Linked DNA regions of Struthio camelus. The protein of the gene in region 2 interacts with the protein of the main gene of each other region in a pairwise test. Links are inferred from orthologs where the notes say so. Each region holds a gene or a part of one and is shown on either strand. Other genes may lie near its edges.

Region 1 (7,623 bases), on a different chromosome or scaffold from region 2:
GAGTCCAGACAGTCTGCTGTAACACTTCTCTAAATTTTTTTTGCATAATATCTAATATTTGTGATATTGGAGAAAACATAACAAAGTAACCAGCTCAGCACACACACAAAAATTTGCAAAAATCTGAAACAAAATCAAAGCTGAATAAGTGCTTTTCTACTATTTGCATGGGACAGGGAATTCAATGAAGAGATACGTGCCATTTTCTGTTTACCAACGGAATTGTCTTACATGATACAACCAACCTAAACTAAGAATCCCCTGGCCAAAAAAGCTCAACAGTCTGCTCATAGACATACTGGCAAAGTAGATGTCATGTTACCCTGTTCCTGCTATCCTACAGGCAGGCTTGGAAAGAGCTTTCCTGGGTCTCCTGGGCAGTGACAGTGCCACAGGCTGCTAGCTGGTGCTCTCCAGCCTGCAAAAAAACGGCATCCCACCTGATCCCCGCGGGACCCTCCAGCACAGAGCCCACGGTGAAGCAGCTGAGCCAAAAGCACACCGTTTCACATTAACACAAGTAAACGTATCTGCTAAGCAGTACATTTTTAAATAGCATATCTGGCCAGAATTCCACCCAAGCTTACAACTCACTCACCACGCCGATTTTCACAGGCAACAAGAATAGTCTTTTCCACAGAATATTTTGAAGCAATGCAATAATGCCATAATATTACCTTTGGATATTATCCAGAGGTCTTGCAGTTCTTTACAAAGGTGGTAATTATCTCCTTCATTTAAAAATAAGGAAACTGAAGAATCTTGCTCAAGGCAATACAAGAGCTAGCAGCACCGCCAGCAAGAGAAACGCCGCGCGAGCCCCTGTTCTGCATCTCCCACCCAAACCCCGACCCCAACTGCTGCTCTGCTCACTTCTCCGCTCTGTGCTGAATCTTTACCGCGCTTCATATCATCATGAAAGTCAGAAAGCTCTGCTCATGACGCTGATTTATACTGCTCTCAGATGGTACTTCCCATGGTGAACAAGATTCACATTCAATTAACTTTGGTATCTTGTTTCAGCCTTTTTTGGTTGCATCGTCTTTCTTAAAAAATAAGAGACATTTGGGCGAGGCAGTATGGTTATGATGCTCCACGTAACCAAACGAGGGAAAGCAATTAACCAGGAAAATAAACCACGAGGATACTACTGGATACTATTTTACCAGCAGATACATCATCATTCTCGCCTCCTTTCACAAAAAGATGTTTTTAAAGCTCCAGAGCTCCGCTTCAGTTTCAGACACCTCGGCTGCAACGTGGTGACGTTACAACCCAACGGGCGCCAGCTCTGCGAGGCCTCCCCGTCGCCAACGCCCCTGCAAAACGCACGCGTGGCCGCGGCTGCGCCCGAGCAGCAGCCGGCCCCGTGGGGCAGCTTCCCGTCCCCAGCTGCCGCCGCGAGCCCAGGAAACGCCCCGGCTGCTGCGCGGCACTCACTGCCACCGGGCCGGCCCGAGCTGCAGCCGCGCTCCCCAGGAAACGGTCATGCCTCAAAGCCAAAACTTTTCACCAAATCCAGCTGGGTTTCAGAACTGTTGTCTAGCTCAAAAGAAAAAAAAATCTTTTTCTTTAATGTCTGGAAACATTTTGTTTTCACATTTGAAGATTTTTTTTTTTTGCTTTTTTCCTATGCATTGTAATTACAGTAATTTTAAAATAAAAAAATTGAAAATCGAAACAGCACTGAAACAAAATATCTCAATTGCCATCAGTTAAAATATAATTTGGGGTGGCTGGGTATTTCAGACTTGAAAATATTTTAAAGGTTCACCTTCTATTCTGACCTAAAACAAGACAATACACATTTGTAAACTCAAAAGTGTTGCAGGATTTATATAAAACCACTGTAAGCCCACTTCCTGCCTAGCTCTAACCGTGCTCATGAGCCGGTTGCTGGTGCAACCTGCTGCAGCTGGGTACAGCCACAGCACTTCCTCCCTGCACGCACGACGCTGCTGGGCATGGCAAACTCCCCACACTTGCAGGATTTGGGCCCAAGAAGAGCAAAATTATACTGCAGGAAAAGCAGACAGACATATTTTCTCAACTTTTGATCTTTAGGAGTCTTACTGAATTAAGATACTGTTTGTGGGACAGTTATTTCACTTTTTGAGATGATTTAATTCATAAAAACGAAGGGAAGGAGCTGGAAATCCACATCTAACAACTGGTCACTGAAACTACAGATATATTAAAATAACAGGCTCACGTTTGCACTGCCAAACTCATAGAGACTTCCTAAAAACCACAGTAAGGCTGTCACCTCCCTACACAGCTCTGCTTGCGCATCTAGAGTACCTTGCTTTCTGCTAAGCGTTATCCTTTCCTTACACAGACGTATTTGTAAAAGAGAAAGGATAACCACAGATGTTCCAAACACAGACACATAAACACACTCTCCACAAACACCCAAATAATTTACGAAGGAAAACACTTTTCCAAGATTCAGTGTCTACTGTCCTGAGACATCAACAAGCCACTTGTAGTTACAAGATGGAAACAAATCATCACAGAGCATGTGTTTTGTGCTATTAAAAACAAAGGAGTCTTTACAGTGACTTAGCTATTTCTAAGTGAAATGCCCTTTATTCTAGCTACACACAAAGAATAATTTAGAGTCAAAGGACTAATAATTGCAGCCATGCCAAATGATTCAAACTCTGTTAGGCTTATTTTCCTCTTATTCCCTCTATCCTTCCCCTTCCCCTGAAGAAAATAACAAAACAAAACAGCAATGATCAATAAAGATTATAATAAAAGCTCTCCCTGGTAGCACAGACAGCAGTTTCTCTCTTTTGGACTCCACGGTTTCTCTAGCTATAATTCCTTCTTTCATTAACTCTATATCCTTGAAAATAATATAATATTTACTCACTTTCAATGAATCAAAGCAGGCGATTACGCGTCCATTTTCAACTTGGCAGCTTTTCGATGGATGTGCAAATTTACATTCCGTGTCTGGCCGGGAGCAAGTCCCTCTTTGGAACTCTCTACACACTTCCAGTGTGAGCCATTTTGTGTCCCGAATCGGTGTGACACTAACAGCCATGTTTAGATTTTACAGGTAGTTAAAATTTTCAGTAAAACGAACAAACAAAGAGCTGAACTGAGAAACTGGAAATGATGAAAATGTCACCTCCAGAATGCTTTTTTCCCCCGCTCCCTATTTTAAAAGTACATGTAAAATCGTGTGGTCACAATATCAAGGAAAAGATTTGCCACTAGAAGTTCACAGCATGAAACTGTTAATTGACAGAGGTTTTGTATTTCAAGAAACGCTAGGATTATAAGTAAGATGAACGTTAAAAAGTGTGGCCTGGAACTAGCCTTGTGCTCTCAGTAACCCATTCTGAGTGCCAATTGGAGCCCAAAATGCAAGCATAAAAACGTGGCAGACCCTTTGACACAGAATTTCCAAGCTGCTTTCAGTAAAGTTGTCTGAAAGGTAATCTCCACACAGCTGAATTTGCAATTGGGTTTTGTGGTGCAATCGGTATTGATTAGTTTGGCATAGACAGATGCAGCAGTTTAGAGCAACAATCGAGAAATTTTTTTTCCTCTCCTTGATTTTCTGGCAGAAGATATCTTACTTTCCCAGCAAACTTTTATTTTTATACTAAAGCAGCCTATGGCAATGCCTGATAGAGCTTTTCTCTTGATTATAAGTAGAAATGGGGGTGTCTGGGCTAGAGGTGGAGGGTGGATGTGCTGTCGTCGCAGTCTAGCTGGCAGCAAGCAAGGCAAAAAGCAGAGACTGCTCTAGAAGCGGTTCCAAGCAGCAGAGACGTCAGGAAAGGCACTTCTTAGTACCAACCTGTAGAAAAAACAGATACGTTAAAATTTACCGAGCAGCATTTCACCGGTGTCCCACAGCATTACCGCCTTGCCATGTGATCCTAGAGTACTACGCAGCATTACAGCCTGCCTGCTTCCCTCGCACAGCGTACTTACAGTGTAGCATATTGCAGCCAGCCATCGTAGATTTATTAAAAAAGGGGCCGTTTTCCCTTGTGAAGCAATGCATGATAGGGAGATAACCAATCACAGATAGTGTTGCAGCAATATTCTGGGCAGAAAGCCAATAGTGTGGGCTGTCTTATGAAAGGTCGCGCCTGTCAGACGTTCATTACTATGCTATAAGCACAGAAAACGTCCATCAGATGTGACTTATTCCACTGCAAGAGGACGAGCATGTGGGTTTTGAATTTACCCAACATGCAGCGAGTGGATTAAACCATGTTAGTCTCCAAAGCGCTTCCCCCGGCGAATCCCTGCGGAAAAAGCGAGCTTGCGCGGCTGCAGCTGGCTTTCCCGCGGCTCTGCCTCCCGCACCACCGCCAGCACAGCCGCCTGCAGCCTCTGCGTCCGGCGTGCCGCCGGAAAGGGAAAAGGGGTGTTTGCAAATGGTATGTTCTCCTGACCTATCCAATTCACTTCCTTCTGAACCCGAAAGTCCTGCCTCCGCACAGAAATCAGCTCGTCGCGTACAGCCGGACTCTCCCACTCAGGCAGCCGACACGCTGTCAAGGTAGCGCCGGCTGCTGCGCGGGAACAAAGCGCTCTTTATTCCCACCTTCCTCCAGCGGCAGCCCGGCTCACGTGGGGAACATCAGCGCTGTCGCCTCGCCGGGACATCTGGCAAAACGCACAGGAGCCCCGGGGAGAGGGCGATTCCAGCAAAGAAACGTAAAATATCGAGCAGGCGGTGTGCTTTCAGCAGCACGAGGCGCTGCAGAGCGACACAGCTCCCAGTTAAACCAGGGCCTGACCCGAGCTTCAGGTAGAGGTCTCTGCCTCGGCAGCCCCGCAAAGCGCACACCAAAATGGCTATTCACGGAAGTGGCTGCGCTTCTATGGGAAGCGCAAAGACGTTTTCTGCCAGCAAACCTGACGGCTTAATAATTATTATCATACAGTCAAAACAACTGCAGCACGCCTTGCTGCTTGGCAGGGAGAACACGCTAGTTTAAATTCAATTAAAACCTGCATTAAGCCTCATTTGTTAACTCCCGATGTTAAGTAGTGTGGCACAAACTTCATAGTTCAAACAAAGCCTTTATTTCCTTGGGTATGTTTATTTGTTTCTCTTAAGGAAAAACTTGACTATGAAATGCTATTTACTCAAATGACCAACTGAGGCCCCGGGTCAAATCTCTGACTAATAGAAACAACTGTTCTGTCAGATAAAAACAAAGTCATTACTGTACTAATTTATCTGGTGGGTGCCAAAAACTAATACTAATCTGCATTCATTTAAAACCTCAGAACATAACATGACTGCCCATGTGCAACTGCCAGTTTTCAGAGGACAATGTCTTTAGTCAGCAGTTTGTTTGCTTTATCCATTAATATATTGCAGGTGAACCAAAATCTGCATGATAAACAACTTTGTTCAAAAAACACCTAAATATTTAAAGTTTAGAAACAAGAGAGTAAATATTTTCCCCTCAAAGGTCAAGGTGGAGTGGATATTTCCTTTCAAAAAGTTTAAATGCCCAGCTCCGAAAAAGAAGTTGGGTGCCATGCATGAACACAACGCGGTAACGAACGGGGACGTGTCTCTCACCCGGGGACGTCAGCGGCAGCGAGCCGGCCGCGCGGGATCGCCCCGGCGAGCTCAGCCCGGGGCCGCGTCTCGAGGCGAGGCAAGTCTCCGCGGCGCGGCGCGGCCACCGGCAGCACCCTCTCGCCAGGCCATGGCGGCCATAGCTCAGGCTGCTCCTCAGCTTCTGCAGACACTGCTCCATAATTTGTGTATTATTATTTATTTTTCTTTCTCTAAAGCAGTGCTGCAGATACTAGCATCAGAGGCACACCTTAGGAAGCGATGTGTGTCAGTGTGGATGCAAATCAGCAAAGAAAATCTACAACAGGTCATTTTCCAGGGATTTTAAATGATGAGAACTACAAGCTACCAAAGGAATCGCGCACACCTAATGCAGCTGATAAGATTTGCAGGGGAGCCACAGCGTCTATTACAATCACAGCCATGCCTCGCACACCCAGTTAGGAGACGAGCAACATGGGGAGAAATCGCTTGCAAGCGCAAGCCAAACAGCTGGGTGTCTTCTTGGAGAATGCAGCCAGCTATTCGCTTGCTTCAGCTGCCCACAGCTGGGAGTCAGGAAATTACCAGTCACCTACACCAACAGGTATCACCGACCTGCCCCGGGGCACTCGGTGAACACGCAGGTCTCGGAAACTCGCTCCGTAAGAAGTGCTCTGATAAACAAGCTCAGCCTTCACACTGTGTTACGTTATCCAGTCACGCAAAAATCTGCACCTCGGGTGGGTCTGGACCTCATGAGACCATCTAGTCCATCGCCACCTCCTCAGGCTGCCCAAATTGCCCAGTTTGCTAGCTTTTTCTCAAAGCGCTCCTGGGAGGCGGAGGCCACAGCATCCCCCTCCCCCCCCCCCCCCAGCCTAGTCCTGTGCAGGGCTGTCCTTCGCAACAGAAAGCTTTCTAAAACCAAAAATGAACCACCCTGTTGAGGCCTGTCACAACTCATCCCATCCTCCAGCGATATGGGCAACAGATTTATTCCCTTCCTCCCACAACCACTCTTGCACTGCAAGAAACACCTTGCAAGTGCCCTTTCATTATGAACATTTATTCCTGCATCCCACAAAGCAGCAAACTACGAGATGCTCACGGCAGGACGATTTAGGTGAGGCAAGATCTCCACTTCACAACGAAGCTGCGAAACGGCTCTCAGTGTGAATTTTCCCCTGTTCTTCAGCTTGGTATACAATCCATACTAAGTACTGATTTCTCCAAACACTGAGAGAGGAGTAAGAGCAGCAACTGATATATTGTATGTGCTAAAGCCAAAGGGAATTAAAAGGCACATTTTCAAAGCAAGATATTTAATCTTACTTTCATAACATGAGTAGTTATCCCCAACAAGGTAAGCAAGATAATGCAAGAAGCAACAGCTTATACAAAATGAAAATCTTTTTTGTGCTCACAAATAAGGAAAGGAGTAATATTTCTGGTAAAATTCAGGAGATGATATGTTTTACTCCTAGTTTTGTAGTAAGGTTTCTGGGTGGAGCTGGACTAGCCCCTTACTCATCGTGAAATCATGATCCTGCTGAGGCCAGTGACATATCTGTAACTGCTAAATGGGGCTGAATTTCACCTGCTATTCTTCAGGCTGCCAGATACAAAAAGCAAAGTTGTTACTCCAAGGAGCTGTGATGCTTCAAGTAGGTAATCTGAAGTCAAGAAATGCTAGTATAGATATATATTTCGCCTGCACAAATACTTGAAGAAAAATTGTTATGTTAGAATTTGTTATACGCCTGAACACAGAGCCCAAAATGTCAGCTTTAAAAATAGTCTGCTAGCAAAAATAAAGACTAACTTAAGACCAGAAATGTATCTTGAATATCTCCACTAAACAAACGACAGGAAAACATTGCAGAGACTCATAATTTTTGAGCTGCATAAACTATTTTCCCATCACTATGAAATTCTCTATTGGGATAGTCCAAGTCAATAAAGGAATCTCAAATGAACCTGAACTAAACGATACCATGACAGCAAAAAAAAAAAAAAAACAAACCAAAAAAACCCCAAAACAAACCCCCCCCCCCCACACACACACACACACA
Region 2 (7,824 bases):
ACATTTTTGCTGTTCACAGTTGAGGATTAATTTTATTAAACAATTTTGCAGTTTTCTGCTTCACTGACTGCATATTTCCTTGATAACATCCCAAGAAGGAAGGTATATTGTGTCTACTAACTTCTACCAATACATTGCTTCATTCAGGCAGCACTTGACCTGCATACACTTATTTTATTATAGTTCAGTTTTTTTCACTCTATCAGTTTGGTTCGATCTCTTCTGCATTTGCTTGACCTAGTGAACTATTCAGTTCACATGTACAATACTGCACATAACGTAATTGCTAAGTGTCACAAATGAATATCTGCAAGGGAACCCAAAAAACTAAATAAAGGAGGGGAAGTCATTATTAAAAAGGTTGAAGGGTCAATCTTCTGAAGTGCTGCTATCAGTTTGAATAGATAAACTCAGGACCTTTTCTAGGTTGCTTTTATGCAAAGTGTCAGCTTCCATAGATTGCTGGCCTCTAGGTCCCAGACTAAACATGTTACATTTGTATTATTATAAAGCATTATGCAAAATAAAGTGAGATTAACTTTCAATTATTTGGGTCAAAATTTATTCCAAATTGAAACTCATTCCCCTGCAGTGAACCAGGTCAAAGAATAAAAGCTCTCAAAAAAAAGATTTAAGACCTTGCTCTGACCCACTGACAGTGTCTTCACAATTTGTGGCCAACACCTATGGCTTACACACGGCTCAGCCCATTATTAACCTGATTCGTCACCTTAATGCATGCACAACCTCTTGCTCTGAGATGATTTCATGTATCCTTCCCATTTTCAGCAAAAAGCAGCTCCTTACCAATGGCAGGAATTGGAAGCCATCTGATTTCTTCACCTGATAAACACTAAATGCAATTGCTAATGCAGTAGCAGCCATTGTATAAAAAACAACCAAAGAAACCTTCCCCTGCCTCTCCTCCACTCTTTTCTCTCCTAACCTTGCTGCAAGGAGTCATTCCTTTAAGACTGATCTACACCTGTACTTTTCTGCCAACAGATTCAGCCAGCAGTTCAAGAGCTGCTATTTACTGGATGGTCACTGGAGATTGAGACGTGAAGCAAGCTTGGCTCTAATTTTGTATGTTTAACACATGGATAGATTTACATCCAACAAAACAATATACTTACCAGCCAGTGGGAATGGCTTTCAATATAGAGTAACAAATTTGATGTAAAAATATACATATATCTGGCATACAGCAAACACACATAATCCTAGTCACTTTAACTGGCATGGGAAACCAGCGGTGTCTGAGCTGTCGCCCTTGCCCCAAGCTCTCCTCCTTGCGATAAAGGAGTAACCATAAGCTGGCAGCAGTATGTCAGTCATCTATTAAACCAGCCATCAGAAGGGGAATGCGCTTTGTCCTTTGAACTGCATGATCTGACCAGCCTGGGACCAAATTCTGCCCGGTAGCTCTCCATAAAGGCAGTGGAAGCTGTGCAAAGGCATTTCACAGAAGAATTTGTCCACTGGAAAGCATGCCCCTTTGGCCCCGCTGCAGAGAGATTAACTGTAACTCAGCACATAGCAAACAATACAGTGGGGAAATAGGTTGTATTTTGTTCTGGCAGATCCTTAGCTGAACCCCAGTCTCCTCAGACAAGTGGTACACCTTTTCTGCAGTGCCAGTTACCACAAACTGGGAAGCGAGAAGAGGAAGCAGCCATGCTAATGTGGGTGGCCTCTCAATCCTTCAGGGGACAGAGGAGAAAAGCCATGACACATTCTGTCCTTTGCTTTGAATTTAGCTTGTGATCCTGGAATAAGTGCAATACCCTTAGCAATGCCGTTTGAATTGCTGGTGGATAGTAATCCGCAATGGTGCACTCTGCCTAGGAGAAAGGCAAGCAGCACATCTCTGAGCGAGCAGGAAGACAGAACAGCCTTTAATTCCTGCAGAAGGGACTCTTCTCAAGTCAGAAAGAGGTCAGTCATGGGACAGAGCACAAAGAGCTTGTATTCACACAGCTGTAACTCTCAGGGGCACTAGGTGCCTTAACCTTCACAAGTGCATTTCCCAGTTAGTCAGAAGTTACATGGTAAACACACAATTTAAAGAAGTAACACTTAAAAGAGTGCAGTATTTGTGTAAAGAGCTTGATTCTGCCAGTGTGGCTGCATCACCCTTCTGTCCTCCGAGTGGCATTCCACATGCAAAGCCCCAAGAAACACATCTTGAACTGAAGAATTAATAAGATTGCTGGCATTTTTAAATGTCAGTCAGTTTTTACATAAGCTCTCTGCCTGTGGAAAAATGGGAGAGTCGCAATCCATAATTGTCCAGCAGGAGCGTCTCTTTTTAATGAAAACGCTGAGGATTCGTTTAGAGGATCCTCGGGAACGGTCACCTCTTGCACTGCTGTCGTCTGGGGGGTTGCCCCCAGAGGTACTCTACAACATCAGTGGGGATGTCAGCCGAGACGGATGATAAGATTAAGTGCTACCCTCCTCCAAGGGTAGACATCAGCACCCCCACCCCCACCTTGGGAGGATCAGCAACGATAGAGCAAAGATCTCCAGGGCTGAGGAAACAAGGAGGTCAGTGACTTCTCCCTGGCAAATATCTGCCTGGCAGACAGCACTACATGCGTGCACTGCTGCCCCTTGCTCCAGCACTGTTTTCTGGCAGTGCAGGTACCGAGAGGATGAGGGGAGTGCAGAGGGATTTAGCTGAAGCAAATGTGCTTCTACAGCTTTCCCAAATGTTGTGGGAATGGCAGAGAGAAAAGGGGAAACTAAATTTTTGTCTGCCTTTAAGTTTCAGTTCAAAACTCACGTACCCAGATTCTAGACGTGATGCGAGGGGTTCAGATGTACAGCTCCTGCTGAACACACCCAAAATCATGCCTCTAAAAATCCACCTATTTTAGAAAATTTCTGTTGTATTTTAAAAAATATTATCTGATAATTGCAGATTCTTACTATTCGTTTTCTTGTAGAATCCTTGTTCAAGTGGCATCATCAGCAAAGGTCTCAAAGCAGCCTGCCAGTTACCGCTCACTCCTGCACAGAGACATACGAAGAAAATAATCTAACCTTTTAATTCCTCCTGTTTTTATTTTTCAAAAATTCAGCCAGGACAGCAAGCAGACAAACAGCAAGAAACAGTGAATGTCGTTGCACTGTGTGTCCAAGTTCATGGCAAATATGGACACAGATTAATGAGTCAAAAAATGCCTGGAACAGAGTCGGGACATTTAGAAGTAAATACATATTCAAAGTCAGCTCAGACTCTGCTGCTAATCCTGCAGCCACAGGGGGTCCCCACCTGAGTAGGGATATGCTGATCTTGATTGCTCGTGTGACCTTTCCTGCCTGTACTCCAGGGCCACATGGTGGGCAGAACAAGCTGCTTTTACGCTGCACGAAAGCTGCGAGGTTAACCCTGGAGGCAATCAACACGTCTCAGCCTTGGCATGACTGGGACGGAGTACATCACGTTACTGCTGGTTATCAGGAAACCCTCTCCAGTTCCTAATTCACATATGTACAAATTAATGATCCTTATCATTTCTATTCTGACAAATGTGCAAGCCCTTGGATGACATGCAAACTTCAGCTTTCACACTCATTTTGAGACTTAAATCCCTCCAAATGGGCCCAGTGAAACAAGTTGGCTGCATGTGTAAAAGCAGCCACAGCCTTCATCCCCAGGCACTCAGAGAAGCCAGGGCAAGGTCGGGGGGAATTCAAATGGTTTCCCTTTGAGACCCAGTGAAACTTTTACCCAAAGCTGCATTTATCAATTAAGGTAACCGTTCTCAATGTATATGCTCAACAGAAAAAGGAAATACGATTCAGCGGTTACTGTAGTCACCTGAGAACGTAACACCATCCGTCCCTACTCTACGGATTTCCTTCACGGCGCTTGGCAACTCAACTTAGGTTGCATTCTCACACCAGGAACAAGTTGCTTGCTTGTCTTTAACTAACCCAAACTAGTTATTCGGCTGCAAAAGTTGGGCTAATAACATTGCTATAGAAATGCAACTAGAGGAAGTCTACCCTAAGGACTGTTGTGCTTAGCATAGTCATGATAAACATGCAGTGCTTTGTCTCCAATGGGATTTTACATGAAGAAAGCTGTGTCTGTGTGGAGAAAATGAAGATATTTCTTCTCCTTTGGCAGAAAGGATAAAAAATAAGTGTCTGTGTCTTGTTTAATAAAACTACTATTTGTACTTTATTTCTGTACATGTGTATAGGAAAAGGTTGTGCAAGGCTGCTACAATAGTAGTGATGTTAGTTTTTCCCTATTCTTTATCATTTGAGCTTTTTCAAAATCCTCAGCAGCATCTCCGTCTGACAGCCTGTTACAGCATCTGGGGGAAAAGGGAAAACATAAGCACAAAAAGCCCAGAAACGGGCAGGCCAGAAACAGGCCAGGTCAATAATATTTTATAGAAAATACAAAACATTTCTGTGTTTGAATTTAGGAATAGGCTGTCCCCATTTACAGCCCAGGATTGCGTCAATGATTGCTAATAGACCTCTGTGAAGAGTACAAAATTACGTTGATTAGTTTCCAGCAGTGCCATTTGCCTTTGCAAAAGAGCCTGAAGCAGAAGGAGTGTGAGAGCTTGTCCATGCTGTGTGAAGGGAACAATTCAAATTCCACAGTGCACTGGGGAACCACATACAGAACCCGTACCTGTGACAAAGGCGCCAGCTGAGCGCGTGTGCGCCGAGCAGCCGGATTCCTCTATGCAAATTCTTACCTATATTTATTGTCCATTTTGACCTGGGAGGTTTTTTTAATGGTGTTCACCTCCTTCTAAATGATGGCAAAATCTGCTGGCTACCAGTGGTCAAATGCATTATGCAAAAAAAACTTCTTAATGACAGTGAAATGCTAAATGCAAATAAACCTGCTTTTCATGCAGTCTCGCCTGAAAGAGACAAATTGACAGTAATTCTCCCTAAAATACAGGGAAAATTGCTAAAAGAGATTTCCTGTGTTTGCCCTAGATGTATTTTCACTTGGGTCACATTTTTACTGACAGCTCACCAGCAGAACTGGAACAGAAACTCTGCCAGACTGATGTCAGGGAAGGGGATACTGAATGTTGCACAGAGAGAACGCTCTCTAACACTTCAGCAGGACGGAAGGAAAGGGGCCAACCACACGTTTTGAGAGCTCAAGGAGGGCTTGCAGGATGCAGGGTTCATTCCTGGCTAAGACACAACAATCTCCTGTGGCTCTGGATGTACAACTTGGACTTTGTTTCAGAGGTGTTAAGTTATCAGTGTTCCTGCCTTGACACTGCTGGAAAATCAGCTCTGTGATCTCTCTGTGACTAAAATCTCCCACTAGGAGAACAGCGATACAATATCTCAGAATGATAGACAAGGATACACTTATTAACGAAGCACTCAGATATCACAGTGATAAACAGTATTGAAATACTTGGGCGGGCAAGTGGGTATTAAACACTAACAGAATTTAGAACAATCTCAGCAAACATGATGGTTTTTTACCTCTCATTGCTTTCATTTCAGCCTGCTGCCATGTAGTGACTGCCTGAGCCACTGATTCAGCAAAAACCAAAACCAAGACTTACTGTTTCAAATGTCAGAAACGGGAAAAACATAAATCTTTTTCAAAATGTGCAGAAATACTCTATGCACTGTGATGTGAAAGGCTGCTTTTTTGCTTTGCTGTTCATCTTAAGAAAAGAATTGCTAAAAAGGATGTATTCACTGCATCAAACCAAAAGCACAGAAGGTGCAACAGCTGCCATAAGTGTGAAATATTTGAAATAATAAAGCCTGCTATGCCAACACTGCCGGCAACTGCAACCACTAATGTTCAACCTCAGTTGTTTCACAGACGCTGGAAAGAACCTTTGCAATTATGAGCAACTCAAATCATACAACAGGAGTAATCAAATTCCTATCATATAGCTCTCATCCACTGGGATACGTTAATTCAGCCAATCTCAGTCATATGCAATTTAATGATAAAACATTCCTCAGCCCCTCCTTGGAGCACAGTGAGACTCTGGCAATACCGCTGAATCAGCTGAGAGACCACACACACAACGTCAGCGATGCCACCGCATCACTGTTTCCCATCCTTGTCAGCCATCCTTCCCACAGAGTGGGCTCCGCTGCCCTCATCACCCTGCTCGAGAGGAACACCAGCCTGGCGCACACAAGGGAGGTGACGTTCACAAGCTGCAGCGGGGAACAAGCTGTGTCCGTTCGAGTGCTGGTACAGCTTTCCGTCCTTCTCTTCTCGGGTCCCTTAGCAACGTGAGGATGGACAGAAAATACACGCTCAGCATCCCATTCTCTCTCTCTTCTCCTTTACCTGTTACTTCACCCTTCTTTCGCATTCTGCAAGCCTGCTGCTGCCTGTCCAGTGTCCTGCACTGAAAGCACAGACTAAGTGGAACAAGGTGTCGAGCACAGGCAACATTACGAATAAACAAGGCTGTCTTGTGGAAGGGCCCAAGCAAAGTTGAAAACAGAAAGAACAAATCTCTCAGGACTAACAGCTCTGAGTTAAGAAGAGGTCTAACTAGCTAACAAACCATCTGTTTCCTCTTTGTCTTGCTATGTGCATGGTTATGCATCTATGTCTTAATTCTCTGCATTTAATATTTGGCACTAGCAAGTACATTTTAATAATAAGCCCCTCCTAAGAATTATTGCTTTCACATATACACACAAAAAGAAGTCAAATATTGGTCTATTTTCCATCTTACTATCCCTACCTAACAAGGCAGTTTGACAAGCAGACTGACAATAAAAGCAATGCAGGGTTTCTTCTTCATGCCTGCCTACACACCACTCACTTCCAGGCTCTGGAAAAAAACGTTTGCTGCCTGCTGTGCTGGTCTGCCTCCTTCCACAGAATAACTGCCCTGGAGACAGCTGATGCGTCTGCTTTGCTCTTACCTTGTCCTTCACCTAAATGGTACGGGGTTTTAGGTGTATTTCTTAGTTATCTCAGGAAAAGGCTTGCGCGCACACACACACACACACACACACACACTTTATATGCTATTGCTAACCTGAATTTTTGTTAACTTTTCAGGATAAAGTGCATACTGTGAGTCTGATTTTCAAAGGTGACACTCTCTAAACACACACATTCGCATTCACAGTTAAGCACAAAACAGTAGTATTCGTTTTTATAGTCACTTGACCAGACACTAATACTGTGGCAGGGAACTGGGGTCAGTCAATCTTTCGCTATGTATGGCAAATCTCACAAAGTAGTAGTACGCATGGAGCCAGCTAAAATAAAATAAGAGTCTGGGTATGCGTCACACAACACTATCAATCTAAAATGCGCAGTCGGGAGCAAGAACTTTTAGAAATTTTTAAGGAAAGATTACAACTGAGTTCTCAGGGAGATTTAGGGCTCAAGGTTCCCTGTTTCTAGAGAGAACAAAAGAAAAGCCATCCATCACAACTGGTCAGGACTATGTAGGGATGCAGGGATCAAAATGACAGGGAAGCACGCAGAGAAAGGAAAGCAGAGAGACCTACGAGGGGCAAGAGTGGAACGAGGGCTCTGCATATTGACTGAAGCTGCTGTCCCAACTATTTTTGCCTAAATGTTCGCTCAACAAATTAGCAGCCAACAAAATCTCCATTTAAGAATAAAACCAATGAGCTTTCCCATCTGACTGCCTGAATCCAAGCACCCAGGCCACAATTTTGAACATAAAGGTGACTGCCCTCCCTTTAGGATTTGAGAAGTGCTGGGAAAGAAAGATAACCAGTGTGTCAGGAGGCCAAACCCATAAAGCTCACAGAGTGAAAGAGATATGAGCCTTAGATAACCTGTGTTGGAGTACT

What was found.
Region 1: the proteins of DAB1 (region 2) and MBNL1 interact in binary tests that used the Homo sapiens proteins (3 or more experiments, as listed by UniProt). The link is inferred for Struthio camelus from reciprocal best matches to the Homo sapiens genes DAB1 and MBNL1.

Annotation. Positions count from the first base shown.
Region 1 is NC_090950.1:33,346,039-33,353,661, forward strand, and holds the start of MBNL1 (muscleblind-like protein 1), read right to left. Parts: upstream 3,017-7,623; 5' UTR 2,879-3,016; intron 925-2,878; exon of another isoform or gene 910-924; coding exon of another isoform or gene 874-909; intron 1-873. UniProt on the Homo sapiens protein: Mediates pre-mRNA alternative splicing regulation. Acts either as activator or repressor of splicing on specific pre-mRNA targets. Inhibits cardiac troponin-T (TNNT2) pre-mRNA exon inclusion but induces insulin receptor (IR) pre-mRNA exon inclusion in muscle.
Region 2 is NC_090949.1:33,984,671-33,992,494, forward strand, and holds the start of DAB1 (disabled homolog 1), read right to left. Parts: upstream 3,002-7,824; 5' UTR 2,935-3,001; intron 1-2,934. UniProt on the Homo sapiens protein: Signaling adapter of the reelin-mediated signaling pathway, which regulates the migration and differentiation of postmitotic neurons during brain development.